Stegostoma tigrinum: one gene and its partners. The protein of the gene in region 3 interacts with the protein of the main gene of each other region in a biochemical or structural test. Links are inferred from orthologs where the notes say so. Each region holds a gene or a part of one and is shown on either strand. Other genes may lie near its edges.

What was found.
Region 1: of the proteins of lrrk2 (region 3) and rho guanine nucleotide exchange factor 7-like, one has a biochemical effect on the other in vitro, tested with the Homo sapiens proteins (2 studies listed by BioGRID and IntAct). The link is inferred for Stegostoma tigrinum from reciprocal best matches to the Homo sapiens genes LRRK2 and ARHGEF7.
Region 2: of the proteins of lrrk2 (region 3) and endophilin-A1, one has a biochemical effect on the other in vitro, tested with the Homo sapiens proteins (2 studies listed by BioGRID and IntAct). The link is inferred for Stegostoma tigrinum from reciprocal best matches to the Homo sapiens genes LRRK2 and SH3GL2.
Region 4: the proteins of lrrk2 (region 3) and echs1 interact on a protein array, tested with the Homo sapiens proteins (2 studies listed by BioGRID and IntAct, with this or other methods). The link is inferred for Stegostoma tigrinum from reciprocal best matches to the Homo sapiens genes LRRK2 and ECHS1.

Annotation. Positions count from the first base shown.
Region 1 is NC_081359.1:13,986,251-13,994,095, reverse strand, and holds the start of rho guanine nucleotide exchange factor 7-like, read left to right. Parts: upstream 1-4,670; 5' UTR 4,671-5,066; coding exon 5,067-5,231; intron 5,232-7,845. UniProt on the Homo sapiens protein: Acts as a RAC1 guanine nucleotide exchange factor (GEF) and can induce membrane ruffling. Functions in cell migration, attachment and cell spreading. Promotes targeting of RAC1 to focal adhesions. May function as a positive regulator of apoptosis.
Region 2 is NC_081356.1:23,525,418-23,532,996, reverse strand, and holds the start of endophilin-A1, read left to right. Parts: upstream 1-4,163; 5' UTR 4,164-4,461; coding exon 4,462-4,506; intron 4,507-7,579. UniProt on the Homo sapiens protein: Implicated in synaptic vesicle endocytosis. May recruit other proteins to membranes with high curvature. Required for BDNF-dependent dendrite outgrowth.
Region 3 is NC_081378.1:38,590,588-38,597,892, reverse strand, and holds the start of lrrk2 (leucine-rich repeat serine/threonine-protein kinase 2), read left to right. Parts: upstream 1-4,066; 5' UTR 4,067-4,446; coding exon 4,447-4,582; intron 4,583-4,684; coding exon 4,685-4,770; intron 4,771-7,305. UniProt on the Homo sapiens protein: Serine/threonine-protein kinase which phosphorylates a broad range of proteins involved in multiple processes such as neuronal plasticity, innate immunity, autophagy, and vesicle trafficking.
Region 4 is NC_081390.1:11,735,187-11,743,212, reverse strand, and holds the start of echs1 (enoyl-CoA hydratase, mitochondrial), read right to left. Parts: upstream 3,233-8,026; 5' UTR 3,176-3,232; coding exon 3,091-3,175; intron 1-3,090. UniProt on the Homo sapiens protein: Converts unsaturated trans-2-enoyl-CoA species ((2E)-enoyl-CoA) to the corresponding (3S)-3hydroxyacyl-CoA species through addition of a water molecule to the double bond.

The DNA of each region.
Region 1 (7,845 bases), on a different chromosome or scaffold from region 3:
ATGGATGCCAGTCTTCAGCCAATTTGATTCACTCTACATGATATCAAGAAATGGTTAGAGGAACCTGGTGCTAAAAAGGCTAAAATGGTTATAATATTGAAGGTCATCCTCCTGAATTAGCCACATGTTCCAGTATAGTTGAAAGAGGACAGCAACAATGTTTTCAAGTCACACTTACTCAGCAATAACCTGCTCATTGATGTTCAGTTTGAATTTTGCCAGAACTCTGAGCTCTTGACCTCATTACAGCCTTGGTCCAAAAATAGGCAAAAGAACTGAACTCAAGAGGTGCATTGAGAGTCATTGGCCTTGACATCAAGGTATCATTTAACTGAGTATGGTGTCAAGGAGTGATAACAAAACTGGAGTTAAACTAGCAGGAAACAAAGTGTGTGCAAAATGAGTCTTTTTCAGATTGGGATGATAGGACACATAAAATATGAGGTCATCCTTTTAGGATAGTGATAGGTTTTGAGCAGCTTTGATCTTTCTGTCTCAGAAAACAATGGAGGTAGAATTATTAAATATTTTTAAGGCAAAGACTATTGTTAGGCAGCTGAGTCTTAGGTCATTGGGGATGGATGGGAATTTGGAATTCAGAACAGAAACAGATTCGCCATGATCTTATTGAATGTCGATGAATGGCCTACTCTTGCTGTTAATTTGTAGGTCTTTAATAGGAATCAGGACAACACAGATTGCAGAGGTACATGCATAATGGAAGGTGGTTGTCAGCATTGGAGGCAGCAATCAAACTATATTGGGGTGTTGATCTGACCCAGAAATCCCAAAATGCTTAGGAAAGCCACACATGGGGTTGGCCAATCTGAGAAAGGACACACCTGTAAACAGAATGGAAGGAAATAGTTGGGAACTGTTCCTTCAATCACAGGCTGCTCTCTCCCAAGCTTACTGCTGCTAAGTTCACAGTGAGTCCATCAACAGCAAATGTGGGAGGGTATCAGCCTGCATTTGGAGGAATGAGGTCAGTGGCAGAGCTAGTGGACAGAATAGAAACTATGCTGGCCAGGCGGGGAGTGATGTCAGTGAGCAAAGCCAGCAAGACTGTGAGAGAGGCCTCTCAGTAGTGGGTGTGATACCAGGACCTGTGCAGCCAAGCCAAAAGCCTGGAGGAAATGAGGCTGTAAAGTTTTGAGAGAGGTGGGTGTGTGTGTGTATGTGTGATGGGGGAAAGACCCTCCAAAGGTTGGAAAAAGTACAAAATGGGAGAGAAATGCTGCAAAGGGAAGAAACACTTTTAAACATTTCAAGAAAGATATACTGTCCTAAATGGGAACATGAGAATAAAACAATTTACTGTTTGGGGAATTCCTTATGTCTGACCTGCTCATGTAAACACTATTTTCTGAACAATGGTAATCCTCAGGATTGTTGATTTTGGAAGATTCAATGTTGGTAATACCATTGAACGTTAAGGATGAATGGTCAGATTCTGTCTTGTTAGAGAAAGCTATAGCCTGGGGCTTGTATGATGGAAATGTTACTTGACATTTATCAAATCATAAATTTCCTGCAATATTGTGGAAACTTTAAGGCTGCTGCATTGGGTGGGGTGGGGGGGAAAGTGAAATAAATATTGTGTCAATTGTTTAATACTGTACTGTTTAATTTCATAAAGACTGACATTTATGTGTTATCATACCTCAAAGTGTTTCACTTACTGGGAAATACTTGAGGCCATGTTGGAGACAAACATATAATGGTTTTCTTGTGACCTCACCATAGAATCCGAGAGTGCAGGAGGAGGTCATTTGGCACATCAAGTCCACATCAACCTCATAAAGAGCATCCCACCCAGCCCCAGCCCATCGCTGTATTTACCATGACCAATCCACATAATCTGCATATCCAGGGAGGAAACCCATGCAAATTCAACATAGTCACCCAAGGCTGGCATTGAACCCATAATCCTAGTGCTGTGAGGCAGCATTGCCAACCACTGAGCCACCATGCCACCATCTGCAGAAAGCATGTTTCGTTTGATGGCTTTTTTTTCTGGATAGAAGTGGGTCAGTTTTATATTTTAAAAATACTTGTTGCCAATTTATGTCTAGGGCCAATTTAAATACCAAGATGTCCAAGAAAGTAATATTTTCCTTAAGAGTCTTAAAATTTTAAATTTAATGGGGGATAAATTTAATCGGGGATAATCATGAAAATTTGAGTTCTGCCTGTGTGCGAATCTAAATCCTCAGCATATCAACATGAAGATAGAAGATACTGTTACCAATTATTATTGTTGTTACTACTCACTGCATCACCTAATGAAGGTGTACATGACACTGTGAAAGGGACACTTGAAAATTTTAAAAAAGCCCCATTAAAATTAAATCAAAAGGCATCAGCTGCTTCCCTCCATCAAAAGGTCAGAGGTGGGGATGTTTGCCGATGATTGCACAATGTTCAGCAACATTCACAATTTGTTGAAGCAGCCCACGTAAGTATGTGGAAAGACATGTCCAACACTTCAGGCTTGGGTTGATAAACATTTACACTACACAAGTCCCAAACTATGGCTGTCTCTAACAAGAAAGTATCTGACCATTAATCCTCGATGTTCAATGGTATTACCATTGCTGAGTCCTGCAAAATCAACACCCTCAGAGTTACTACTGACCTGAAGCTTAACTGTACAAGCCATACAAATAGTGCCAACATGAGGAGGTCATAGACTAAGAATTCCCTGGTGAGTAACTCACCTCCTGACTTCCAAGAGCCTGCTTACATGGGACAAGTCTAATGGACTGCTCTCCACTTGACTGGATAAGTGCAACTCCAAAAACAATCAAGAAGTTTGACAAGGCAGCTGCCTGCTTGGCATCCCATCATTCCTTTCACCACAAATGCACCATACCAGCAGTATGTACCATCTACAAGATGCACTAAGTCTCCTTTCACATCAGCTTCTAAACCTGCAAAACATGGAATAACGGTAGTGGATGCATGAGAGCAAGATTGCCTGGAAATTCACTCCAAGGCACACACCAACTTGACTTGGAACTAAATCACTGTTTCTTCAGTGCCATTGAGTCAAAGTCCTGGAACTCAATGGCTGACAACACAGTAGGTGTACCCACCACCATGGGCTTCAGCAGCTCAAGAAGGTAGCTCAGCATCAACTTCTCGAGTTGGTGCAAGAAATGTTGTCCTAGCAAGAAATGTTCACATCCCATGAGATTTTTTTTAGAAAATAAAATTCCTTTAACGATAACATGTGCAATACAATTGTTCTCTAGCCTACTCCAACCAGACATTGGGAAGGCGAAAGTCATCTCACACAGTTCCTGATTCTCACTCTACATAGTCATCTAGAACTTTATTCCTTTGTGGCAAGTTTGCATTCATTCCTTGTTCATAACTGGCCAAGGAGGAACTCCATGGCATTCAGCCAGTTGAGTATTTACAACAATCTAGAGGTTTGGTGCCAAGCTAAAAGTATCAGGTTTATTGAGTTTTTCTTTCTACCCTTTACATTGTTAACTTTAAACTCACCACCACACAATGTTTCCTAATTAGATCAGGAAAAGAACTAGCACTGGTCTCTGGTCTAACTCATAAACATTTCTGGGGGGTTGGGGGAGAGAAGAGAAAGAGGACTGGGGTTTTGGACGGGAGAATTGTTTCGGGGTTTGGAGGGTTAAGGGTGAGGATGACCAGGAGGAGTTTGAGAGCGGTGAGGACAGAGATGATGAGGATTTCTATTTTGGGGAGATGACTAACAAGGAAAATGTCTTAGTGGGTAGGAAAGAGAGAGTGGAGAGGCGTCCACAAAGCATTGGATTATGTGGTCGAGCCCATTGAGTCTGGTCTCCAGGGAATTCTTAGCCTATAGCCTGTTCATGTTGACATTTGTATGGTTTGTACAGTTAAGCTTCAGGTCAACAGTAACTCAGGATGTTGAATGGCTAATCTGACAGTCTTGAATATCACTTTCCTGGCTTTCCCCATAATCCTTGTTATATTGACTAACTAAAAATCTGTTTATCTCAGCTTTGCATATAGTGAACAGCCCAGCATTGACAGCCTCGATGGTAAAGGGAAATATGTAGACAATGGGTGGTACGGAGGGTCTGAGAAGGTAAAGGAAGTATGCGGGGGGGGGGGGGATGGTTGGGTTGAACGTCCATACAGAGGGGACAGTGTGAGATGAGATGTGGGTGGGGGAGTTAGATGTTGCGAGTGTGGGAGATGTGGAGGGGGTGTGAGATGCCGGGGTTTTGGGGGTATGGAGTGAGATACTGGAAGTTATTTCGAGTGAGGTAGTTGATGTTAACTACCGTTAACTACCCCGGGGTAAGTTTCCAGGGGTAGATGTCTGGGTGGGTTAATTGTTGGGGTGAGGAAGGGACTAGTTATCTGGTCGGGGATGGATGTTGGATTGGGTTGGGGGTAACTGTCAGGGTGGGGACGGTAGTTGTCGATTTGGGGAGGCAAGTTATTGGGGTAGGAAGTAATTGTCGGGTGGCGGGGTGGGGGTAATTGTTTGGTGTTGGGTTGGAGAGAAATTGTCGAGGGTTGGGGTAATTGTTGGGTGTCGGGGTGGAGGGTAATTGTCGGGTTGGGGGTATTTGTCGAGTGGGGGGGGGTAATTGACGGGTTGGGGGGGTATTTGTCGAGTTGGGGGGGGTGTAATTGTCGGGTGTCGGGGTCTCCGGGCCCTCCTCTATTGCTGGGTCTCGGGCGGCACTAGAGGGCGGCAGGACCCGGCTTCGGGCTCAGTCTGAGCGGCGGCAGTGGGCGGCAGGTTCGGAGCCGCGATCGTCCCGGAGAAACAAAGAGAGCCGCCCCGGGGGCAAGGAGGGAGGTTACGGGATCAGAGAGATCCCAGGCGATAGCCGTCCCTTCCGAGACACACCGGCTCTATCAGTACCGAGTGATGCCGGGCTCGCCGCTTCGGAGCTGGGACCTCGGGAAGCAGTGAACCGCGGGGACTGGGAAAAGGCGGCGGCGGGGATTGTCCCGGGGCCCGGGAAGGAAAAGGGGACTGTTGTCCCGGGGCCCAAGGCTCGGATCCCTGCACTCCCGGTGAATGGGGATCGGTAGCGATGAGCTCCGCTGAGCAGACGGTCACTTGGCTGATTACACTCGGGGTCCTGGATTCCCCCAAGAAAACAGTGTCGGACCCCGAGGCTTTCCTACAGAGCTCCCTGAGGGACGGGGTGGTCTTGTGTCGCCTCCTGGAGCGCCTGGTGCCTGGATCTATCGACAGGGTGAGTAAACCTGGCGGTGCTGACCTCCCTCCCCCGCCCAAAAACAATCCCGACGTCTACCTGTGTCATCGGTGTATACCTCTACCCCAATGCCACCCAGATCCCAACAGGTCTTGTCCCTTTCTGTCCGCACCGCCCCAGGGGATCTGGGGATCTATTTTACTCCCTCATCTGTGGGGATCTGGCCTCTCCCACTCCACTCCCCATTCCCACTCAAGAGTGGGATCTTCCAGCATCATTCGCTGTCCTTTTCCAGCTCTGGGCTGTCTTGCTCCCCAACTCTCCTTACCCCATTCAGGATGTCTAGATCCCACATTCTCATAGATGGGGTGCCAGAGGCTCTGTGGTGTTAACATGCTGAAGGAGATCTGACTGCCCTCCCACACTCCTTAACACCATCCCCTTAACCCAAGTACAGCCGATACGAGGTGCCTGTACCCCACATGTCCAGACATAGCTCACTATTGCTAAACTTGAGGTTCTGTACTCCTAATCCTGTCCATATCCGTCACCCTGAGAACTGCACTTGAGCCACCTGAAGATCAGGAACTGTATGCCATATCAGCAAACTCCCACCCCAAAACGCACGCACAAACATCTGGCAACAAAGTGAATCCCCTATTACCCTTCACCCACAGACTCTATAAAGCTCCCAAACACCAAAAGGGACACTACTTTCTTAGGGCTCTCTTCTCTCCTGGGGCTTATAACATTGTACTGATTATCTCTTGGTTCTCTAGCTGCTCTTCGTGAACACTGTCCCTTACGTACAGGGTAGAGGATGGAGAGGGAGATGTCTAAAGTATTGTATCTTCTGGTCCTGGAGTTTACAACTTTGGCTTGTGTTCCATTGAATATGAAAGATTAAGTTTGTAGTGTTTTATGATTATAATTATGAGAGTGAGGTAATATAGATATACTTAAGGTGATCAAAGAACTGCAAATATACTAATCTAAATTATATAAGCCTTTCACACCCTCAGCATGCCTCAATATGAGCAGAATGAGATAAACTGTTTCCTCTGGGGAAGTTCAGAACAAGGGGGCGTAACCCTAAGATTAGAGCTAAATTGTTCAGGCATGATGTCTGGAAGCATTTCACACAAAAGCTGGAACTTTTTCTCCAAAAAGATGTCATGCTTGGAGGTCAGTTGTAAATTTCAAGACTGACGTAGATTATATTTTCAGGAGTAAAATGCTGCAGGTGCCGAACATCTGAAATAGAAACAGAAACCAATTCAAGTACACAGTGGTCTGGCAGCATATGCTGTGATGAAAGATCATTAATTTAAAATATAACCTTTCTTTTTCTTTCTGTCAATTTGATTTTTGTTGGGTAAGAATATTGAGAAAAATGGGTTAAAGGTGGGTAGATGGAATGAGATCCAGATTAGTCATAATTGAATTAAGATGCTGATGGTCCTCCCATTCCTGTTTAAACTAATCCATAGTGTTTGGATCTATGTTCTGCCAGGTAACACTACATGACCACTAAGTCCCACAGTCTCAAAGTATTTTTAATTAATAGATTTTGCTTGTCTGTCAAACAAAATGTTTTGAGATTTCTGACATCTTGAGTTGGTTCTGTATCTAATGACAGAGCTTGGATTTCATTTAATTTATGAGCTGTATAGGATGGACTGAGCATCAGTGCCTACTAGGATTCAAATCATTTGGGTGAATGAGAAGGAACTGGGAGGAAAATGTTTGCTTCTCACTGCTCAAGTAAAATCAAATGATTTTAATCATTCTGTTCACAACTTTCACGTTCACACCAGGACATTGCGGCCAGTGATACATGTTTCAAATGTGGCCACAGTTGTAATGCTACTTGAATCTGATCCACCATTCAAAAAAATCATGGGTGATCTGAGTGACAACCTTGACTATCAAAAATTAATCAGTCTTGATTAAGTTTGATGACCCAACGTCCACTGTTTTCTAAGGAAGGGCACATTACAAACTATCGATTGTCTGATAAAAAACTTTTTTCTTCCTATCCATCTTAAAACGCAGGCTTCCTGTTTTTAAGCTGTGTCTCCTGAAGGGAGTCTGTTCGGCAATTAGAAACATCCTCCTTTATCCACCTTATCAAGACCCCTCAGGACCTTTATAGCTTCAAATAGATCACCACTCATCTTTTCAAGTTTCAGGGGTAGGGCCAATGTGTTTGACTTTTCTCCATAAGTTAAACTTTCATCCCAGGAATTAGTCAGTTGAACCTTTTCTGAATTGCTTCGGATCTAATGATCTAGCAATAATTTTCTCAAATGAGGAGTTTAAACTGTACAGAATGCTTTAGATCTGACCAAGGCCCCATACAGCTTGCGGTATAGCTTCCCTACTTCTATATTCCCTTGCAATAAAGAACAACATTTCGTTTGCCTTCTTCAAAATTTGCTGTATTTGAATACTGGCATTTTGTGACTTGTGTACCAGGACACCCAGATGCCTCTGTACTGCGCAGTTCTGCAAATTACCAATTTAATTGCATACCACTTCTCTCTTTTTCATGACAAAGTTGGCAAATTCACATTTTCCCACTTTATGCTCCATCTGCCAGGTTTTTGCCCACTCACTTAACCTGTCTATTTCCTTTTCACACTCTAAACTT
Region 2 (7,579 bases), on a different chromosome or scaffold from region 3:
GGAAATTTGCCCGAGCAGAAAAAGCTTACACTGGGGCAGTCCCAGGATGGAAAAAATGAACAGGGACTCAAGGTGGTTTATTGAATTGCCAAAAAAACTAGAAGGTCGGGGCCATTCTAGAGACAGAGCTGATTTATTTTGCAAGACTGGTCCTGTCTCAGCCAGTCTGTGTTTGCCCTGGCAAATATAAAGGAGACAGCATGCCAGCAGTGAATACAGTAGACGAAATTGAAAGAAGTACAAGTAAAATGCTGTTTCACCTGGAACATGGGTTTGGCACCTTGGACAATAAGGAAAGAGGATGGAAATGGGTAAATGGTACACCTTCTGTGTTTGCATGAGAAGATGCCACAGCAGGGTCTTAAGTGCAGGCTGGAGGGGGCAGCTGTTGTTTTGGAAGGGTGAGCATAGAGGAGTGGACCAGGGTGTCACATAGGGGATGGCATTGGGGGATGCTGATAGTAAAGAGAAGGGGGAGATAAGTTTGGTGCTGGTCTCTGGCTGGTAGAAATGGTGGAGAAGATCCTTTGAATGCAGAGACTGGTGGAGTGGAAAGTGAGGACAGTAATATCCAACACCATTTTCCCACCAATAACTTGCTAACTGATGCTCCATTTGGTTTAATCAGGACATTTTGGGGCCATACCTCATTATAGTTTTGATCCAAGATAGAAAATAAATTTGAATTCCAGGGCTTTGGGACTACTGTCCTCAATATCAGAGGAACACTTGAGAATGTGTGGCATTGAGGAATGCTCACAAAATTGAAGTAAATAGGAATCGTGGGCAAACTCACCATTCATATTTTGCCTTGTACAAAGGAAGATCGCTGTGGTTGTTGCAAACTAAACTTCTCAACCCCGGGATATCTCAGCAGGAATTCCTCTGGGCAGCGTCCTCAGCTCCACAATCTTCAGCTGCTCCATCATCGACCTTGTCATAATCATAAGCTTAGAACTGTGTGATGTTTGGTGACAAGCTCTCAGATACTGAAGTAGTCTTTGTCCATATGCAATAAGACTAGGAAAACATCTTAGCCTGGCAAGTGGCAAATAACTTTGATGCCACTCAAGTACTAGGCCGTAAAACCTTCCAAATATATCTATCTCTAACACACTGCCTGACCACTTTCCCTCTTTATTCAATGACATCACTATTATTGAATCCTCATTATTAGTGGTAGTGTATTACCATTGACCAGAAGCACAACATAGCACAAGTCAGAGGTCAGGAATTCTGGGTCAAGCAACTTACCCTCCCACCTCCAAAGCCTTTCGAATATTTTCACAGGGCCTTAATTTGATTGTTATGGAATACTCACCACATGCCTGGATGGATAAAATTCCAAAAACATTCAAGAGGCAGATGGGCCTATTTTAGTTCAGAACCATGGTCGGCATGAACTGATTAGACTGAAAGGTCTGTTTCCATGCTGTATGACTCTATGACATCTTGGAGAAAGCAACCTGTTTGGGTTGCTTCAACTCCCCTAAATATATACTCCATCCATGATTGACATAGCATGTTCCAAATACAAATTGCATTTCAACAACTCACCAAATGGCACTTCCCATGCCGTCAACTTCTACAACCTGTAATGACAAGGACAAGCGACACATGTAATTATCACCTGCAAATTCCCTTCAAGTTGTACACTTTGGCAGCAGCTATACTGAACACAGTGCAGAGATTCCCCCACCTTAGACTGACTTCAATTTTGCTATGGCTACTTAATGCAGCACTGAAACCAAATGTTCCCTTAATATAAAAGTAATCAGCCTCACTTCATCTCTGGAACTCAGCTCTTTTGTTCATGTCTGGTCCAAGGCTGTAATGAGATCTGGAACCAAGTGAACTGGTGGGAGCCAAACTGAGTTTCCATTAACAGGTTATTGGAAACGACAGTCATGGCTTTTCTTCCCACTCCTGCACAATTCCTTCTGGTGTTTTCCAAGCATCTATCCTTGCTGTCTACTTTTTTTATCCCCATGCTGCCCGTCAGCAACATCATCAGAAAACACTGCATCAGTTTTCACATGTGTGCTGAAGGCACACAATCCAACCTCATTAACACCTTTCTCAATTTTGCTAATGGTTCAGAGTAAACCAACAGTTCAGGATTTGGTTGTGTTAGATTTACTGCTTTTCTGTGGACAAAACATTCTGGGCAACTTTCCATAATGCCAAATAGATGCCAGTGTTCTAGATGTTCAGCACTGGAATGGCATGACTAAGGACAAAGCTATTTCTACCACAGATAACAAGGTGTGGAGCTGGATGAACACAGCAGGCCAAGCAGCATCTTAGAAGCAGGCAAGCTGACGTTTCGGGCCTAGACCCTTCATCAGAACCCGAAACGTCAGCTTTCCTGCTCCTCAGATGCTGCTTGACCTGTTGTGTTCCTCCAGCTCCACACCTTGTTATCTCGGATTCTCTAGCATCGGCAGTTCCTATTGTCTCTATTTCTACCACATAAGTCTTTGGTACTACTGCTGAAATTTTGTCACTGCAATTTTACCTTTCCTGTATTCAATGCCCTTTTTTTAATGAAAGCACAAAATAGGAACATCAGGAAAAGTTCAAGATGGATCTTCCACTTACTCTTGTGGCTGAAGATGGTTGTGAACAATTCAACATTGCTTTTTCACACTCACATAGCTTTAAATTGAGGGGTGAAAGATATAGGACAGATGTCAGAGGTAGTTTCTTTACTCAGAGAGTAGTAAGGGAATGGAACGCTCTACCTGCAACGGTAGTAGATTTGCCAACTTTAGGTACATTTAAGTCATCAAAGGATGAGCATATGGACGTACATGGAATAGTGTAGGTTAGATGGGCTTGAGATCAGTATGACAGGTCGGCACAACATCGAGGGCCGAAGGGCCTGTACTGTGCTGTAATGTTCTATGTTCTACATGCTTGACTGTCTCATACTGATGATGGGGATATTGTAGAGTTTTTTTTGTCATTTGATTGGTCAATGCCATTCATGACTATAATAAAACGGAAATGCTGCTTATGTTGTAAATGGAAATTAAAGAAAACGAGTTGTTGGGAAAAATGAACAAGGCTGGCAACATCTGTGAAGAAGAAAACAAAATTAACATTTTGAACCATTGATTCTTCTTTGGAAATAATCAGGTATGTTCATACCTGTATGTGACAGAACTACAGGGCTTTGAACTGGTTCCTTATAAATAGGGTGCTTGACACTATTTCTTGAATGTTGCCTCCTCTGTTTCACATTCATGTAGTTCTGTATTGCAGCTTGGATGAGTTGACATCTCCCTTTCAGATATGATTGGTGCTGCATCAGGCAAAATCTTTTCATTGACTAAATTTGGTCCCCCAATTTGATGGTAATGGTGAAGTGTGATATGCCAGGCCATGAAGATACAATTATGGTTGGATGCAATTTTGCTGTTGACAATGGTTCACAGTGCCATGTTGTGTGCTGTAGATCTGCTCTGCATCTATTCCATTCAGCATGGTGGTGGAGATACACAACTGAGTGGAGATATATCCTCAATGTGAAGATGGGACATTGTCACTACAATGACTGTGTGGTGGTCACTCTGACCAATAGCATCATAGACAGAACTTCCCATGACATAAATAACAAGTACATCTTTGATGTATAACAAAAATGTTTGTCTTGTGTTACTCAGGGTTCTGCTGATTTTCTATAAAGTGGGATGGACAGGTGAAGGTGTGGACAGGTATTTGTTTTCCTCTTGTTGGCTCCCTAACCACCTAGTCTAAATCCAATCTGGTTTATATCTACTTAAGGACTGAGTCAGTTTGGCTAATGTTGTTGTTAGAATTCTTGCACCCAAAGTACGTTTGTGGCCCTACTACCTTCAGCATGTCTTTCATCTGACATTCAACGTTGTGGGGAGAGGGGATTGCATGGGTGCTGACTGTAATCAACAGGAAGTCTTCTTGTCTGTATCTCATGGAGATCGAAATGTATTTCGACAACTCGCAGGCCCACACTTTCTTGACCCCATACCATGGTGCCATCACTCCTGCTGGCGCCTAGAGCACTGGATGGTACGGTTCCGTGAGTTTCGCTATAATAGTTAGTTGCTCGGCTAGTCTGTGGGACAGCTCTTCAATGTTTCGACCTATATGCCCGCATACATGTCTGTCTGACTGCAACGAAATCTATCTCTGCATAATACAGACACCAAGCATTGTGCACCGCTGGAAGAAACGACTGTATAGAAATAGATTGTCTCTATTTTTAGCTGTCAGTGCGGATTTAATTCATCCTCATCGCTGGCGAAACGTGGCTGTGTCTTTAAGAGAAGCTGACGTCAGGTTGGGTCCGGATATCCTGGTTTTGCCGATAGTAATTTAATCCTGGAGTGAGATGAGAAGGAGCCGCGAAGGAGGCGAGAATAACCCTGTTTGCAAATAAGCGGCCGAACAGGACCGCTTCCTTTTTCTGCAGGAACCATGTCTGTGGCGGGACTGAAGAAACAATTCCACAAGGCTACTCAGGTAGGGAGATAGCTGCTGCAGCTCCGACACTCTCTGCCCCACTGCACCAAAGCGGTTTGAGCTTCAGTCCAAGCTTCGTCCCTGTCGTGCCTCTGTATTCTTAACCACCTTCCCGTTTTACAAGAAGTAATGATAGAATCCCCGTCTCGCTTCATGTCCCAAACCCTCCGGGGCTACACAACGCCGATTAATGAAGCAATGTCATTGTGTAGGTCGGGTCAGGCAGGATTCCTGTGGCGAAATCTGGGAACTTTGATGTTTCAGTGAGTGTGGGGCTCGCTGTGGGTTGATTTGCCAATGAGGTCTCGACAGAGGCGTTTCATTTTAGGGGAGAAGGGGTGGTGGTGGGAGAGAAGGGTTTTGAGCCTCCGTTTTCCCCGGGATGTTTGCGGGATCGCTGCGGAAATCATTTATTATTTAGTCCCCGGAGTGAGCCGCGTCGCAGCTTCTTTCTGGGTCTGTTGGAAGAGTGGCTTTCCAATGCCCTCAGTCGGCTCCAGGTCGCTATTGCGGAAATCCAGTCCTTGCTGCTGTCCCCCACCCCCCACGAGCAGTCTCCTGATCTTGGAATCAAGGAGGAGAAATGTCCTCTGAACAAGACCAATTTGCTGCTGCTGGTTAGATCGGCTCGCACCTCATTATAATGTTGATTTTTATATGATCTCAACACGTAAAACACCGCGGAAATAATTAATTTGATCCTGCCGCTGTCAATTGTGTATTGAGCATCCCAGCCATCAACAATTCTGTTTTGAGTTTCACCGCGCCTGCAATATTCTCTCTCTCTCTGTGTGTCTTTATTTTGAAATAACAGCCTCTTTCATCAAACGTCACGATCTTCGCCTCAGCTACTTTGGGAGAAATGTTCATTCCTCTGTCAGCTGGGCTGACCATTTTAAAGATTTTTCCCCTGTTCCCGGCTCTCCTGCATACTTACAGCTAATCCTCAGCTTGGAAGTTGAGGCGCCTGTTTACTGTCACTGACTCTGACTCTCTGGGTTTGAGACTTGGGGGACACTGGCACCGAAGCACATGGCAGATGCCTGCTGGCGGGTAGTTTGAAGAAAGGTGGGGGGGGGGGAGTGGGGAGCGAATCGGGGGAGATTGAGGAAAGATGCTGCAAGCATTTCAGTAGGTCACGAGTATATTAAGGATGGGACCGGTCCTGGGCACAACTGAATTACACATCCTGAAAGATGCATCGCTGCTGCTTCTCGATTTGAATTATTTCTTCCCATTGTCCTGCTATTCTCACCACCCCCCCCCCCCCCCCGCCCCCGCTCCTTCCCTCCCTCTTCGCAGCCATCAAAATTTCCATTTACTCTGTCGGACTTCAGCTTGCAATTTAACGTTAATATTTGCAATTATCCTGACAATCTTGGCACCACTTCTAAAGCATTTCCGTTCCAGGCTGGAATTCAAGTTCTGGTCCAGCATTTTGACTTCACTCCGGGCCTGATTCCAGGCACTGAACGTACGGCTTTTCTGTGCACTGGATGTAAATGGGTGACCAGAATTGGAATGCTGTGTTCGATATGCAGCATAACTAGAGCACTCTGCAGCTGCATTGAGACTCTGGGACGACTTACTGTCATATACAGCTAGTTTTGTAGAGTGCCCTGTTTCTGTTGAACGTGTCGTTGAGATGAGGGCGTTTTTTTAAACTCCAGAGATAACAATGTGGAGCTGGAGAAACACAGCATGTCAGGCAGCATCCGAGGAGCAGGAAAGTTGACATTTTGGGTTGGGACTTTTCTTCAGAAACGGATAGGGGGAAGGGAGCTCCGAAATAAATATAGAGAGGAGGGGTGGGGCTGGGGAAGGTAGGTGGAATGGGTGATAGGTGAGTGCAGGTAGGCAGTGGTGGGGCTTGGTCAGTGAGGTGGGCGGGGCAAGTAGGTGGGAGTGAAGATGGACAAGTTGTCAAGTCAAGGAGTTTGTATTAGGTCTGAAGAAGGGTCACCGGATCCCAAACATTAACTTTTTTTTTCCTTCACAGATGCTCCCAGACCTGCTGAGCTTTTCCAGCAACTTTGATTTTGTGTCAGGTCAAGGGGGCTGGGATGAGAGGGAGGGTTGGTCATGGGATGAGGCTGGGAGTGGGGAGATTTTGAAACTGGTAAAGCCCACATTTAGACCATTGGCCTGTAGGCTCCCAATCCGTTTCACACTATCTGTTGCCCCAGCACCATTCAGGGTGATCAGTCCTTGTTTGCACAATTTTCAATTGCCTGTATTAAATCTCATCTCCCATCTGGTCCAAATTTTCTCTGATTTCTGACTTGTCTTTTACAATTCCACCTCTCCTCCTAGCATGTGCTCATATGTGACATTGACTGCTATTTCCATGTTTCCAAAACCAGTGTCATTAATGTCAACGAGAAACAATACTGAATCCCCAGAGTCCCCACTGAGCACTCACTTCTATTCATATTCCATTTTGATTACTACCCTTGTGCTTTCTCCCCGAGTCTCTGCGGGTTTCCTCTGGGTGCTGTGGTTTCCTCCCACCATCCAAAGATGGACAGGTTAGGTGGCTTGGCCATGCTAAATTGCCCATAGTGCCCAGGGATGTGTAGGTTTACGGGCATAGGGTAGGGTGTGGGTCTTTGAAGGGTCACTGTGGACTGAATGGCTGCTTCCACACTGTAGGGATTCTAAGTTAGAATTCCCTCATGGTTCAGTGTCTCATACGTACCAGGTAATGTTTAGCAGAGCCAGCTGCAAACCTCTTCTTACTATGGGAGCTTTCAAAGTGTGCTGCCTACTGTTTCTATGATTGAATGGCTCAAGTGATAATGCTACTTTCCCCATCCCACAATGTACAAATCACCAGCTATGTTAAACTAGCATTGTGAAGTATGTTGATGGTTGCTGTGATTTTACTGTACATTTATCATTCTTCTTTAAAAAGAGAGCCCTTAAAATTAGTTTTCAGCAACTGAACTAGTCCAAATAATTGACAAGTTAAAATAGATGCCCTAAACATTGGCCAAGCTAAATAATTCATGACGAGATCAATAGGATGATAGGTTAGAGAAGTAATCTAATTCTTTGGCTTTGGCGCATAAGT
Region 3 (7,305 bases):
CCACCTCTTGGCCTGGAACTTCAGCTTGAGAAAGATTCACTCATCATGAAATTCCACTCTCACTGAACACCTAGTTTTAGTTTTTAAACTCTTGTTCACAAATACTCTACATGACCACTTTATTAATGCCGTAAATCTTAACTCTGACCAATCTAAAAGCATTTTTTCTTCCACATGTTTGTATGCACTGTTAGTTCTAATCCATTGGTGCTGACCTACATTTCAAATTATCTCTCACCGGTTGATCCCTAAGCACAGGTTTCCTATTTTCAACATCAGCATTGTTTCAAATGCACTCAATGACTTTGACTCTGGGCAAATCCTATTATCTTTCTCCAATTCAGAAATATCTCCCGCAGATATATTCACGCGGGGCAGTCCTTCTTTCCATGAAGTCCCAAATACTGCAGTGCAGACACATAAGTTGCTCTACCATAACTTAGTCTGCACTCCTAACAATGTTTAATTCGTGGTATACATGAACTCACACGAAACATTAAAGGACTGGACAAAATTTGGAGTTACTTAATGTTAAGATATTTAAGCCACAGAAATAGTACAGTCATTGCTTCCTTTCCTGGTTCTCAATTTTAATAACGCCCCCTAGTGACGTTTCATGCTCTTATTGAAGGTTTTTGTTTATACATGATTGGCACTTCAGATTGATCACAAGCATTTCCACTTTAGTATTGATTTATTTGGTTACTATTACACAACATTATACAAGTAAAGGAAGCAATAACACTTGTTCCAGAGGTGAACAATAATACCTCTAACATGTTGGTTAGAAACTATCTACAATTTACAGAAAACTATTACACACCATGTTACCCAGAAATCATGGACATGATTTACAGCTCTCCTTTGTTTATTATTCATTTGTGAATAAACTTGTTAAGTATTATGTCTTGCTTTAAAAAAATAACAATTTTTTTCTATAGAAAGTGAGTTTGGGGAATTGATAATGAAAAATAAAGAGATGGTAGATGAATTGAACAGGTATTTTATAATGAATGTTCACTGTAGAGGATGCAAGTAATATTCTGGAAGATTTATAAGTCAAGAAATGCAAGAGAGGGAGGAATTCAGTAAAATTATGATTACAATTAAGTTTTGGAGCTGCAAGCTGACAAGTTCCTGGATCCTAATAGATTTCATCGTATGGTTCTAAAAAAGTGGTTGGTGAGATAATTGATGCATTGGTTTCAATTCTCTAAAACTCTCTAGATTTAGGGAAGGTCCTATTAGATTAGAAGATAACTCATGTAATTGTTTATTTCATAACGGGAGGGAGTCAGAAAGCAGGAAATTACAGACAAGATGCCTCATTATCACGTGATTCCTTGCCCCAATGTGATATTCCCCTACTGGACAATGATGAGTTGCAGGCCTACAATGGGCATTAGAGACAGGATAGCACTGATTTAGAGAGGTTGTTCAGACAAGATGTATCTTGGGACAGATGAATTATATGGCATGATGGTTAAACAGCACCTAGGTTGAGAGAATGGGGTTGTATGTGTGAGGGTGTATCAGACATGCTGGCTATGTGCCTTGGCCAGCATGACTTTGTGCCTGCTATGCCATTATATACGTGCCAGTGAGGAGTACTTGCCAAATCTTGACTAGCTGCATTGCAGCCTTTCAAAAATAGCATGCTCACAAGGAATGCTGGTTCTTCCGCCATATGGATGACATTCTAATTCACTGATTCACTGCAACTGAATGTGATGGAAGAGTGAAAGCAATATTTAAATACATTTTCATTCATGATGAGTTGGTCCAAGAGAAGTGTGTGGTAGGATGGGGTTGAAATTGGACCTAAGGGATGCCATAGAACACAATAGGTAATTAAAAAGGTGAGTTTGTTCAGACACAATGAGGGTACTTCTTACATTTTGCAGCGAATAACCTTCCAAAATCTTGCACAGCCCTGACACAGCCAAAAACAAAATCAGCCCATGTTATTCAAATAGTGAGAGATTGCAGAGCTCTGATATGCAGAGGGATCTGTGTGTCCTACTGCATGACCTACAGAAGGTTAGTATGCAGGTACAGCAAGTAATTAAGAAATTTAATGGAATGTTATAATTTATTCCATTCACTTACACATGACATTGGTGGAACCATATCTGGAGTCCTGTATATAGAATTGGTTACTTTATTTATGGAACGCGGTAGAATGCGTTGGAAGCAGATCAAAAAAGGTTTACCTAATACTTGGAACAGGCAGACAGGTTGTCTTATGAGTAAAGGTTGGACAAGTTAAGCTTGCATCAACTGGAGCTTAGACCAGTAAGAAGCAACTTAATTGAAACATGTAAGATTCTGGGGGGTCTTGATAGAGTAGATGTGGAGAAGATGCTGCCTTAAACAGGAGAATCTAGGCCAAGGGAGTCACTATTTAAAAATAAAGGCTTGCCCCTTTAAAATAGAGATGAGGTAAAAAAAATTTCTCAACAGGGTTGTGAGTATTTGGACATTTTACCCCAAAAGGCAATGAATTTTTAAGACAGAGGTGGCTTAATTCTTGTAGGAAATGAGGTGAAAGTTTATCAGGCTTTGGCAGTAATATGAATGTGAGGTTATAAACAGATCAGTTATGACATCATTAATAAATTATAGAACAGGCTCAAAAGGGCATGCAGCCTGCTCCTATGCATAAGTTTATCACGCAGTTTGTGAGACACTGTTTTAATCATCTACCCTTAGCACTATATCAATTCCAGAGATTGATCCAGAAAATTATTGACACCATAGAAGTATTAAAAAGGGTTAACTGTCATAGGGATGACATTCTAATTCACCGATCCACTTCATCGGAACATGATGGAAGAGTGACAGTGATATTTAAATACATTTTGATTCATATTCTTCATGCAACAGGCATTAAGTCTGACCCACAGAAGGTTACAGCCATCAATGCTGTCCCACCACTTTGAAATACTGTGGAATTGCAGCAAATCATAGGAATGGTTAACCAGGAAGGGACTTTTCTTTTACCAAATCTGGCAAAAGGAAATGAACTACTATAATAATTGCTTAGACAGAATCAAGCATGGTTAAATATGAAAGCCAGAGGTTGGTGATGGCTTCTTATTGCGTTGTCACTTTCAGTGTTTCTAGCAATCCATCCACTCCCAAATACACATGCTCTTCCATGTTGAAACTTCCACCAGCTTTCAAGATTCTATTTTCACTTCTTCACATTGCTTACAATCAGATGGTGGGTTACTATGCATTGTATTTGAAGTTTTAGCAAAGATTCATGTATACATTATGTGCTAATTCAGGCTGGGCTGGTGGACCTGATGGAGGGATTGAATAGATTGGGACGACTGTTTTGCATTTTTTTCATATTTGAGGATTTTGATATTTCTGTAGGAGGCTTGTAGAATTCCTATACGATTTTAGCATGTGTATCTGACACCTAGCTCTGATTGGTTGAGTTTTATATTCCTTTCTCAATATAGTTATTTTATCAACGAATTTATAACTTTTTTTCTCTTCTTGGAGAATAAATGAATTATTAAAGAAAGTAGGAAATCATATTTGTATAATGCCTTTCATGACCTTAGGTTTTCATAATGTGCTTTCTGGTCAATAAAACACTTTTTACAAAAGTAGTCATGAGGATATATGACATGTATTGGTAATCTATCAGGAGCAATGTTAATAGAAGAATGAACGCTGACCATGCAATAGGGCAGAACGCCCCCTTATTTTGAAATAATTCCCGGGGATCTTTTGGATGTAACTGAGAGGTTCCATATATCAACGTTTCATTATGGCAAGATTACACGTCTGGAATTTTAGCCTCAATCTGGATTATATGCTCAAACCAAGATTTGTACATTTCAGAAGCTTTATCAAAAATGTTTTGTTTGAATAAGTGTAGTGGCAGCGGGAGCCTGACAGAATGACCACTGAGTTTTCAGCATGACGGTTCCTTCCTTTGTCAGGCATTAACAAAAATAACTTTGTATAACTAGTTGAGGGTCGACTCATGATAGCGGGCTGGATGGCAAATTGCCAAATGTGCTTTGGGGCTGCGGCCAAGGGAGTGTCTTCCCTGCAGTTTTTGTCGGTCTGGCCTAGAGGTCGGCTTTGGACTTCTCAAAAACACTAATACCGACTTAATCTTTAGAAACAAGTGAGGCTGAACTTTCGCTGAAAAAGAAGTCATAGAAGGGCACACTCAACGTTACTGACAGCAGCACCCGGGTGATGAAGCAAAGTTACTTTTGGAAACTCCCCGCGGACTGAAACTTCCGTAACTCATTTCTGATTTTTCACTTTGAACGGCCAGTATTGCAGTCATACTGTGACCACTGCTGACGAAGTAACCGACGGGTTAAAGACTGGTCGTTCTCACAAGCCAACCAGATATTTATTTTTCTACGATCAAACATGAAAAGCGGTCAAAATTAGAACAGTCGATTAACCATGGCGGACTCGGAACCACTGGAGGGAAACCTGAAAAAGTTAATCGTTCGTCTCCAAAATGTCGAGCAAGGAAAAGAAATCAGCACTTTGCTTCAGATTTTAGACGACTTGATTCTCCTCACTACTGTTCAAAATGGTAAGTAATCGTCTAAGAAATTATATGTTTCAAAAATCCGTTATCGGAAGACGGGATGGACACATTTTGACATAAAGTGCTGATTGTTTACATCTTAAACAGCTTCGATTTTATTCGGAAATAAAAATGTCCACATGCCGTTATTGGTGGCTCTCGAATCGTTCACCGAAATTGCCAGTATCCAACAGGTAGGCTGTTTATTTACGTCTGGTTCTATGACTGCAACGAGTCGTGCAGATTGATAGTTTTATTTTCGTCCTGACTTGTCACCAGCCAAGTTCAATATAGGAGTGTTAAAGGAATCCATACTATTTGTTTTTGCAGTCCAACTGAAGGAAAAGTTTTATGAAAACGGTTGGCATGTATTGATTTCCAGAACTTAAGCGACCTGAATCAGCTGGTCACTTGTGCATGCCGCTGGGACAAGAGTGACGCACGCCCCTTCCTCACTCCTCAACTTGTTTAAAAAGTTAATTGCCAAATACTTTCTCTGAACATCATGTGCCTCTCATTGGAACTTTCCCCTTACTAAAATATTCTGGACTCAACTACATTTTAAGTACATAAGTCACTGTTACTCCTCTACTGAGACAGGATCTGAGAATACTTAAATAGACTTGTCAGCTATATTGCAAATACCCTATATCGAACAACACTTGAACAGCACAACATTGGCCTTTTGCAGGCCTTTGTGAGAACTCTGCATATGTGACAACACAGATAGCAATGTTAAATTAGTTTAGCCGCTATAAAACTTTTCCCAGTTGGGTTGGTCCGCTGGCTGCTTGATGCGGTTCAGTTGACAGGAACGCAATAAAAATTCAAAAAACTATCACTGTTTATTATTTTTAAGAAAGAAGGTTAGTTGAGAACTCAATAATTTGAGGCTATCTCTAACTTTATCCTCGACTTCTACCCTTGCATGTGAAAGCACTGGTGGAGATTTAGTCAAGGACTTATTGTGGGACTGGAACCACATATGGTCCAAACCGCATATTGTTTCCTTTTCTAAAAGGACTTTGTGACCCAGCTGGGTTTTATATAAGAGATAATGGGAACTGCAGATGCTGGAGAATCCAAGATAACATGGTGTAGAGCTGGATGAACACAGCAGGCCAAGCAGCATCCTAGGAGCAGGAAAGCTGACATTTCAGGCCTAGACCCCCGAAACGTCAGCTTTCCTGCTCCTAAGATGCTGCTTGGCCTGCTGTGTACATCCAGCTCTACACCTTGTTATCTTGGGTTTTTATATAAATCTGCTAAAGTTACAATCATGCCTGTGTGCAAATACCAGAAGATATGAAGTTCAGATTGTTCCTTCCTAGTTTAGGACTTGAATATTGCGGAAAACAAAGTAAAAGCTGCAAAAGATTTTTGAGACACTCCCGAAGACAGCAAGACAAGAACACTCCATTTCAAAATGAATGACAATTTATAATGCACATGAAGAGTTGCTTTTGACTGGTAAATCAACTCTAATTGGTCAAGGTATCCAGAAAATCTTGTTCCCTGACACTTTTGAATTTTTAAAAAAGGAAATGCTTGGACATCTGTTTTCCTGCAAATGAATACGTATCTTTTATCAAGCATACCTGAGCCACATTTTAAGACTGACTCATGATCTTTAAATTGGTTGCTTGCATAATTCTTAGTGCACTCAAGATTGGACAGCATTTACTGAGCAATCACTGGACTACATCCAGCATTAAACATTATCTTCTGATTTCTGCAAGCGCAGGCTAGTTGAATATAGGTGGCGCTCTGTTGCAAACATTCCATGGGAGGTGCTGGAATTTCTGCTGGGAGTTCAACATTGCTGTACACAGTAAAATTGGTCCATTCAGGAATCTTGTATATGGACCCTAAACCATTTGTTCAAGCTTGAGGTCAAAGTAGGATGCATCAAACCAACCTGTGGAATAATAGCTATTCTGTCATTGCTCGCTGTGTAATGCACAAACTTAAGTGTAGGTCTAGTGCTATCACTTTGCGACCTGAAACATGACAGTCTAACTCAAAGTACCTGAAAAGGATAATGATTCTCAAATACTTGAGCACCATTTCACTCTCCTGCTTATGCACTTGAACTATGAATGGTGTTTTGACCACGATGCTGTAATCAAGCCAAAGACTCTGGTGAATCATGTAATATATACACTTTGGCACCCTGATGATGCCTGGTAAGAAAGTTGTACGTCCTGGCAACTACCAGATTTTGCCAAGCAGGATCTGAATGTAATATGCCATCTGAAAGGTAAAAAGGTAAAGGTAAAGTCTCCATTGTCTTTATCAGTCCATATGATTGCTCGTGATGAGAGAGAGATGACTGGTGATGGTTTAACCTGAGGGTCACCACGCCTCAGAAAAGTTGAGAAGGAGAAACCTTTACACACCTGAAAGGTAGCTGCTATTAAGCAAAAAACCTTAAATATCTTTCCACATTTACCATATATTAAATAAGCTTTCTCAACTCTTTTTGAATTTTAGAAATAAAAAGGCTATTAGTCTTTTACTAGAGTGGAGTGTTAGTGAAGGGAAGAAACCCTTTGCTTGTTTACTTCTGTAGCTGCAACAGATCTGTTGTACAAATTGTGCAACAGGAATCATGATGGTGGAGGTGGCAGTGAAAGAAGATTGACAAGAGAATACATTCTGGAATTCCAATCCTCAGTCTTCCTACCAAGTTGCTCACTATGACTAGCCTTGTTCTCTAGACCTGTCAG
Region 4 (8,026 bases), on a different chromosome or scaffold from region 3:
GGGGAATGATTGCCAAGATAACAAAGTGTGGAGCTGGATGAACACAGCAGGCCACGCAGCATCTCAGGAGCACAAAAGCTGACGATTTGAGCCTAGGCCCATCATCAGACAGGGGGATGGGAAGAGTTTTGAAATAAATAGGGAGAGAGGGGGAGGCGGACCGAAAATGGGTAAAGGAGAAGATAGATGGAGAGGAGAGTATAGTTGGGGAGGACGGACAGGTCAAGGAGGCGGGATGAGGTTAGTAGGTAGGAAATGGAGGTGCGGCCTGAGGGGGGAGTAGGGGATAGGTGAGAGGAAGAACAGGTTAGGGAGGCGGGGACAAGCTGGGCTGGTTTTGGGATGCGGTAGGGGGAGGGGAGATTTTGAAGCTTATGAAATCCACATTGATACCATTGGGTTCCAGGGTTCCCAAGCGGAACATGAGTTGCTGTTCCTGCAACCTTCGGGTGGCATCATTTATGGCACTGCAGGAGGCCCAGGATGGACATGTCGTCAAAGGAGTGGGAGTGGGAGTGGGATGATTGCCAAGAATGGTTCTAGCCCTCTCATTCACAGTGGCTGGGTTTGAATGAGTTAAAGCCTACCCCAGAGATCGATTCTTAATAGAGACGAGCAAGATTAAAAATGACAATTTTTGGACCACAGGGGAGAGGTGGTTTGTGAAGAGATGGCTTGAAACAATTTATGCACGTTTACCCCACACCCGAGCACCAAACCATCATCTCCAACACCATTCATGACCTCATCACCTCAGGGGACCTCCCACCCACAGCCTCCAACCTCATTGTTCCCCAACCCTGCACAGCCCGTTTCTATCTCCTTCCCAAAATCCACAAACCTGCCTGCCCTGGTCGACCCATCGTCTCAGCCTGCTCCTGCCCCACCGAACTCATCTCCACCTGTCCGGACTCCATTTTCTCCCCTTTGGTCCAGGAACTCCCTACCTACGTCCGTGACACCACCCACGCCTTCCACCTCCTTCAGGACTTCCAATTCCGTGACCCCCAACACCTCATTTTCACCATGGACGTCCAGTCCCTATACACCTGTATTCCGCATGCAGATGGCGTCAAGGCCCTCCGCTTCTTCCTGTCCCACAGGCCCGACCAGTCCCCCTCCACCGTCACCCTCATCCACCTAGCCGAACTCGTCCTCACCCTCAACATCTTCTCTTTCAATTCCTCCCACTTCCTATAGACTAAGGGGGTGGCCATGGGCACCCATATGGGCCCCAGCTATGCCTGCCTCTTTGTAGGTTACATGGAACAATCCCTCTTCCGCACCCACACAGGCCCCAAACCCCACCTCTTCCTCCGTTACATTGATAACTGTATCGGCGCCGCCTCTTGCTCCCCAGAGGAGCTCGAACAGTTCATCCACTTCACCAATACCTTCCACCCCAACCTTCAGTTCACCTGGGCCATCTCCAGCACATCCCTCACCTTCCTGGATCTCTCAGTCTCCATCTCAGGCAACCAGCTTGTAATTGATGTCCATTTCAAGCCCACCGACTCCCACAGCTGCCTAGAATACACCTCCTCCCACCCACCCTCCTGCAAAAATTCCATCCCCTATTCCCAATTCCTCCGCCTCCGCCACATCTGCTCCCACGATGAGGCATTCCACTCGCGCACATCCCAGATTTCCAAGTTCTTCAAGGACCGCAACTTTCCCCCCACAGTGGTCGAGAACGCCCTTGACCCCATCTCCCGCAACACATCCCTCACACCCCGCCCCCGCCACAACCGCCCAAAGAGGATCCCCTCGTTCTCACACACCACCCCACCAACCTCCAGATACAATGCATCATCCTCCGACACTTCCGCCATCTACAATCCGACCCCACCACCCAAGACATTTTTCCATCCCCTCCCTTGTCTGCTTTCCGGAGAGACCACTCTCTCCGTGACTCCCTTGTTCGCTCCACACTGCCCTCCAACCCCACCACACCCGGCACCTTCCCCTGCAACCGCAGGAAATGCTACACTTGCCCCCACACCTCCTCCCTCACCCCATCCCAGGCCCCAAGATGACATTCCACATTAAGCAGAGGTTCACCTGCACATCTGCCAATGTGGTATACTGCATCCACTGTACCCGCTGTGGTTTCCTCCACATTGGGGAAACCAAGCGGAGGCTTGGGGACCGCTTTGCAGAACACCTCCGCTCGGTTCACAATAAACAACTGCACCTCCCAGTCGCAAGCCATTTCCACTCCCCCTCCCATTCTTCAGATGACATGTCCATCATGGGCCTCTTGCAGTGCCACATTGATGCCACCCGAAGGTTGCAGGAACAGCAACTCATATTCCGCTTGGGAACCCTGAAGCCCAATGGTATCAATGTGGACTTCACCAGCTTCAAAATCTCCCCTTCCCCCACCGCATCCCAAAACCAGCCCAGCTCTTCCCCTCCACCCACTACATCCCAAAACCAGTCCAGCCTGTCTCTGCCTCCCTAACCGGTTCTTCCTCTCACCCATCCCTTCCTCCCACCCCAAGCCACACCTCCACTTCCTACTAACCTCATCCCACCTCCTTGACCTGTCCGTCTTCCCTGGACTGACCTATCCCCTCCCTATCTCCCCAACTATACTCTCCTCTCCACCTATCTTCTTTACTCTCCATCTTCGGTCCGCCTCCCCCTCTCTCCCTATTTATTCCAGTTCCCTCTCCCCATCCCCCTCTCTGATGAAGGATCTAGGCCCGAAACGTCAGCTTTTGTGCTCCTGAGATGGTGCTTGGCCTGCTGTGTTCATCCAGCTTCACATTTTATTATCCACGTTTATTTTCAGTTGCTTTTCAGCATGGTTCATAAAGACGTCAAGAACAAAGACATCAGCAAAGAAGGAAGCTCTCTGTGAACGGGTGCTATGCAATCTTGCAGGGCTGCTTCTCCTTAAAACAATGCATTCGGCCGCAGTGAGGGTTGGCCGAACATTTTCATCGACATGCACTGTCCTCATGTTTTCAAAGGTCACTCGCAGTTTGCATTCAGCGTCCCACCCCACGCACTGGAAAAGGCCCCGACCTCGGGTTTGCACAGACTTAAAGCAGGTTTCCTGCCGCCTTTAGCACCAGAGCCTACCTGCGCTGTACGCCCTGACTGCATTGGACCTGGAGGCACGGAGAGAAAACGCAGCCGCCCTACACAGAAAAGACATTGTTGCCATTCTCTGCGTGGGATCCACCTATGCCTCTGTCCCAGATCTGTGAATATCGCGATAGCCTAAGCGCCACCCTTCCCCGGGAGCTGTCAATCACCCGATCTGGGCTGCGCACCACCAATTGATTGCAGATTAATCCATTCATTTTTGTCGCCGCTGTAACTCCTCAGTCAACGTCGTTTACACGCACAGTCATCTTAAATTTTAACAACAAAAAGACAATGCATCCATGCATAAAACCATGATGAATGGTACATTTGGTCCTTGATTAGGAAATCTCACCGAAATGCAATCACTTGCCAACTCTGCTGTAACTGATTTGTACAAGGAGTGTGGTAGTTGCACTGTCTCTAGCCGGAAGACCTGTGTTCTAACTCTCTAAAGAGATGTGACAAAACCTCAGAACGAGGTTGTTCAGAAAATATCTGCGTTTAATTGATAGCTCCCCGCATGTTTCCACTTTTGGGCTTGTTATTTCAAAAGACAATAGACAATAGGTGCTGGAGTAGGCCATACGGCACTTCGAGCCAGCACCACCATTCATTATGATCATGGCTGATCATCCACAATTAGTATCCTGTTCCTGCCTTATCCCCATAACTCTTGATTCCACTATCTTTGACAGCTCTATCTATCTCTTTCTTGAAAGTATCCAGAGACTTGGCCTCCACTGCCTTCCGGGCAGAGCATTCCATATATCCACCACTCTCTGGGTAAAGAAGTTTTTCCTCAACTCTGTTCTAAATGGCTTACCCCTTATTTTTAAACTGTGTTCTCTGGTCCTGGACTCCCTCATCAGTGGAAACATGCTTCCTACCTCCAGAGTGTTCAATCCCTTAATAATCTTACACGCCTCAATCAGATCCCCTCTCATCCTTCTAAACTCATTTCACTAGAGTGAGGCTATTTCCTTCACATTTGATATTTTAATCTGAGCCGTGTTGTTCGCCTTCCCCGTCAGGATATTTTCCTAACCGTGTGAAAAAGATGCTGCTTCAGTCTTTCTCCTGTGGTATCGTACTGATATTTCTGAGTTGAAAGCAAGGTTGGGAACTGATATGCATTTGAATTGACCAGGAACAATCTAATGCGAACACTGATCTTAGACTCACAACAGCAAAGAAGAGGCCATTCAGTCCATCATGTCCATACCAACATTCTATCAAACAATCAGCCGGTCTCATTACACTCTCAGCCCACTCTTCATCCACTGCAGGGATAGTAGGAACTGTGGATGCTGGAGAATCTGAGATAACAAGGTGTAGAGCTGGATGAACACAGCAGGTCAAGCAGCATCAGAGGAGCAGGAACCGGCTGTGTTCATCCAGCTCTACACCTTGTTATCTCTTCATCCACTGCAGGTTATTTCCACTCCAACCCTCACCACCCTGCCCCCGGCCAAGACCTCATCGAATTTTTCTTTTGATATTGTTGATTTTAAATGTATCCAAGTACCATGAACGCACAGCTGGTGTTTCTCTTTCCCAATATTAGAGTCATTTTCAGATCAACAGCTCAAACAGCATAATGATGCCCATTATGTACACAGGGACAGGGTGAGGGGAAGGGGTTTCTGCAGTCTGTGCTTTTGGATTAGATGTTGCTTTTAAACACAAATGGAATTAGGGGACAGCATCTCCTTTGAGACTGTTTGCCTGAGAGCCCTGTCAGCGAGTTAGAGGGGTTTATGCTTTGGGATGTAATGGCTTTCTTTTGACTGTGCCAGCTCCTTGTTTTCACCCTTTATTAAGAATGCCTGTTTGCCTCCCCTTTTTCGACAAGATCTGGTGTTGTGCATCTTAACTGAATTGGAAGAATCTCCTTCCAGAATACAAGGGTGAATAACAAAAATACATTTAAAATAACTCAGTAACTCATCAGACTGATTCCCAGGATGGCAGGGCTAAGAAATTAAGAAAGATTGGATCAACTAGGCTTGTACTACTCACGGGAATTTCGAAGAATGGGGGGATGATTTCACAGAAACATAAAATCCTGATGGGGCTGGACATGCTAGATGCGGATGTTCCTGATGATGGGGAAACCCACAGCTAAGGGTCACTGTCTAATAAGGGGTGTGCCATTCAGGACTGAGATGAGGAAGAATTTCTTTACTCAGAGACCTGTGAACCTGTGGAATTCTCTCCCACAGCAAGTTGTTGGGGTCAGTTCATTAGATATATTCAAGAGTGAGCTGGGCATGGCCCTTGCAGTTGAAGAGATCAAGGGGTGTGGAGAGAAAGCAGGAATGGGATACTGAGATTGCAAGATCAGCCATGATTATATTAAATGTTTGTGCAAGCTTGAAGGGCCAAAGGGCCTAGTCCTGCTCCTATTTTCTATGCATCTATGAACTGGAAGTGTCACTGCACTGAAAATGTTAAGTGTGCTTGCTTTTCATAGATGCTGCCAGACCTGCTAATGTCTCCAAAAATTTCTGGTTTTATTTCAGATTGACAGCATCTGCAGTTCTTTGTTTTGCTTCTAGGATATTAACAGAAATGCGGAAGAACTAATCACTTCCTTGTGTCAGGTCTCTTCAAAATACGCCAAAAACAGTGCCACTCTGCTTTTGAGATAGCAAAAACTGCTGATGCTGGAGTCAGAGATAATACAGTATGGAGCAGGCCAGGCAGCATCAGAGGAGCAGGAAAGCTGACGTTTCAGCTGAAGAAGGGTCCTGACCCTAAACATCAGCTCTCCTGCTCATCTGATGCTGCCTGGTCTGCTTTATCAACATGTACATAATTCTGCCTGGCTACATAACCAATATGACTTATTTTACATTTCAAATGGTAACCTTCCTAGCTTACAGTACCTTGTATAAGTTCAAGAGATGCTTGACTATCTGCTGGGAAAAATTAAGGCCAAATCCCAACTGGAATTGTCTGAACCTCACAGAGATGTCAAAAATTGCAGGAGCTTTATTTAAAAGCAAAAACAACTTCGTAAAACTATTGGAGTTGCCATGACGTGATAGCCACCGATTTTTCTTTACAGTGGCCCCTCCAAATTTGAGTCCAAGCCCAGAAAAATCTATGCTTTATGACCCTTTAGGACCTAAAAGACCCTTTATCATTCTATAACACCTTGCTTCACCATTACATAGAAGGTCTAATGAGCATAAATAAGCATGAACATTCTTCCAGAAAGGCAAATGTAGCCATCAGACATTGCATGAGGGTAAATAGTCTAAGGTTGCATTATCTTTCTCTTTCGTTTTGGATGTTGGTTGACAGGAAAACCAAATGTAGTAACCTCCCCGAAAGCCCTTTCACAACATACAGCTGCAATCCTTACACTCTGTCTCCTGTACAATATATCATGCTGCTGTGTGACTGACTACAGCAAATGTCTCATTGTTGGCCTGGCCAGGTCTGGTCCTCATAGGCTGAGGGCAAGATGCTTCATGCTTCACCTGGAGCAGTAACTGTCTTCAGATTGTTCCAATCATCAGAATTGAATCAAGGGTGAGAGTCCTACAGAATGCCTGAAACCATTCAAAGACTTTGTCAGACCTTAGACCTTAGAAACTAGAGAAGTTGGTGATGTAATAATAACAGCCACCAGCCTAGTAATCCAGATAATCTGGCTAATGTTCTGGGGAAAAGGATTCAAACCCGGTGAACAAAAATCCAGAATTGAAGTAGTGATCTTTGCTGCTTGCTGTAAAAACTCTCTGGTTCACTCATGTTCCTTAGGGAAGGAAATGCTGACCTGGTCAGGCTCCAGACCCACAGCAATGTGGTTGCCTCAGCATTACCTTCTGAAATAATTGTACGAGCTCATCCTACAAGGGCACTTAGGGATGGGCGACAAAGCCCTTGCCAGCCATCCCCATATCCCATGGAAGCCTTGTTTAAAAAAAACAATGTCTACACAGGAAACTGATATTTAATAAAGAGGCCCTGGGTTTGGAAATAGAACAAGATGAATCCAAATATACAGAAGAGTAAACACCGGGCTAAAATAACCCAAACAATGTAAAATAAAATAGATCTGCACATGTATTTCAGACAATTCTTCCAGTAATGGCGAATAAAATGTGAAGAGATTTCATTATCAAGGCGGAGATGCGTTTCTTTCTCGTAACTGTAACCCGGGGGATATGTAGCACGTCGTCGTTACAAAGCCCCTCCTACTTGGGATTTGCTTTCTTTGTCTCTGTCTTTCATTCCTGTTTTGGTGGTACCCAGTCAGTTCATTGCATTCATAGTCTGCTCTAAATTCTTGCCGGCAAATCCGGTGACATTGCAGGGACCGGTTTCACTTCAGGACTGTCCCTGGTTTGAATCATAATCCGATTAGGATTTGGCGGTGTGCCGAGGAGGAAGGAGGTACACAGAGAGAGGCGAGCGAATTAAGTGTTCGTCCCGCGCCATTGACTGCAATCCAGCTCGGCGGTCACACTGACTCTAGACCTTGCCAGAGGTGAGTACACTACCGAGCTTTTCATTTAGGAGTGGGTAAATAGGGTTTGTCAAACAAAGACAGGGGATAATGGCAGTTCTGAAAACAAAAAAAACGATTTACAAAAGGAAAAAAGAATATGCCACGCTCGATTTATTCAAAAACAATGAACTCTAGTAAAACAAATCCTCAAGCAATTACACAATGAATAGTGTATGTTAGATTCGGATCCAAACTGCGATCATCAATGGTGCATGAAAAGATGAATTTGGATTCAGCATTCCTTGCTGGACTAAATAACAGGTTGGTAATTTAAATTTGAACCCACTCCTTGGAAAAGCAGGATCAACCGTGTGGACAATGAGACATGTTAGCATTGCATGGAACAGAAATGGGAGAAAGTTCGGTGTCTTACAGAGGGTTTATGTGTTCACACACCATTATAAA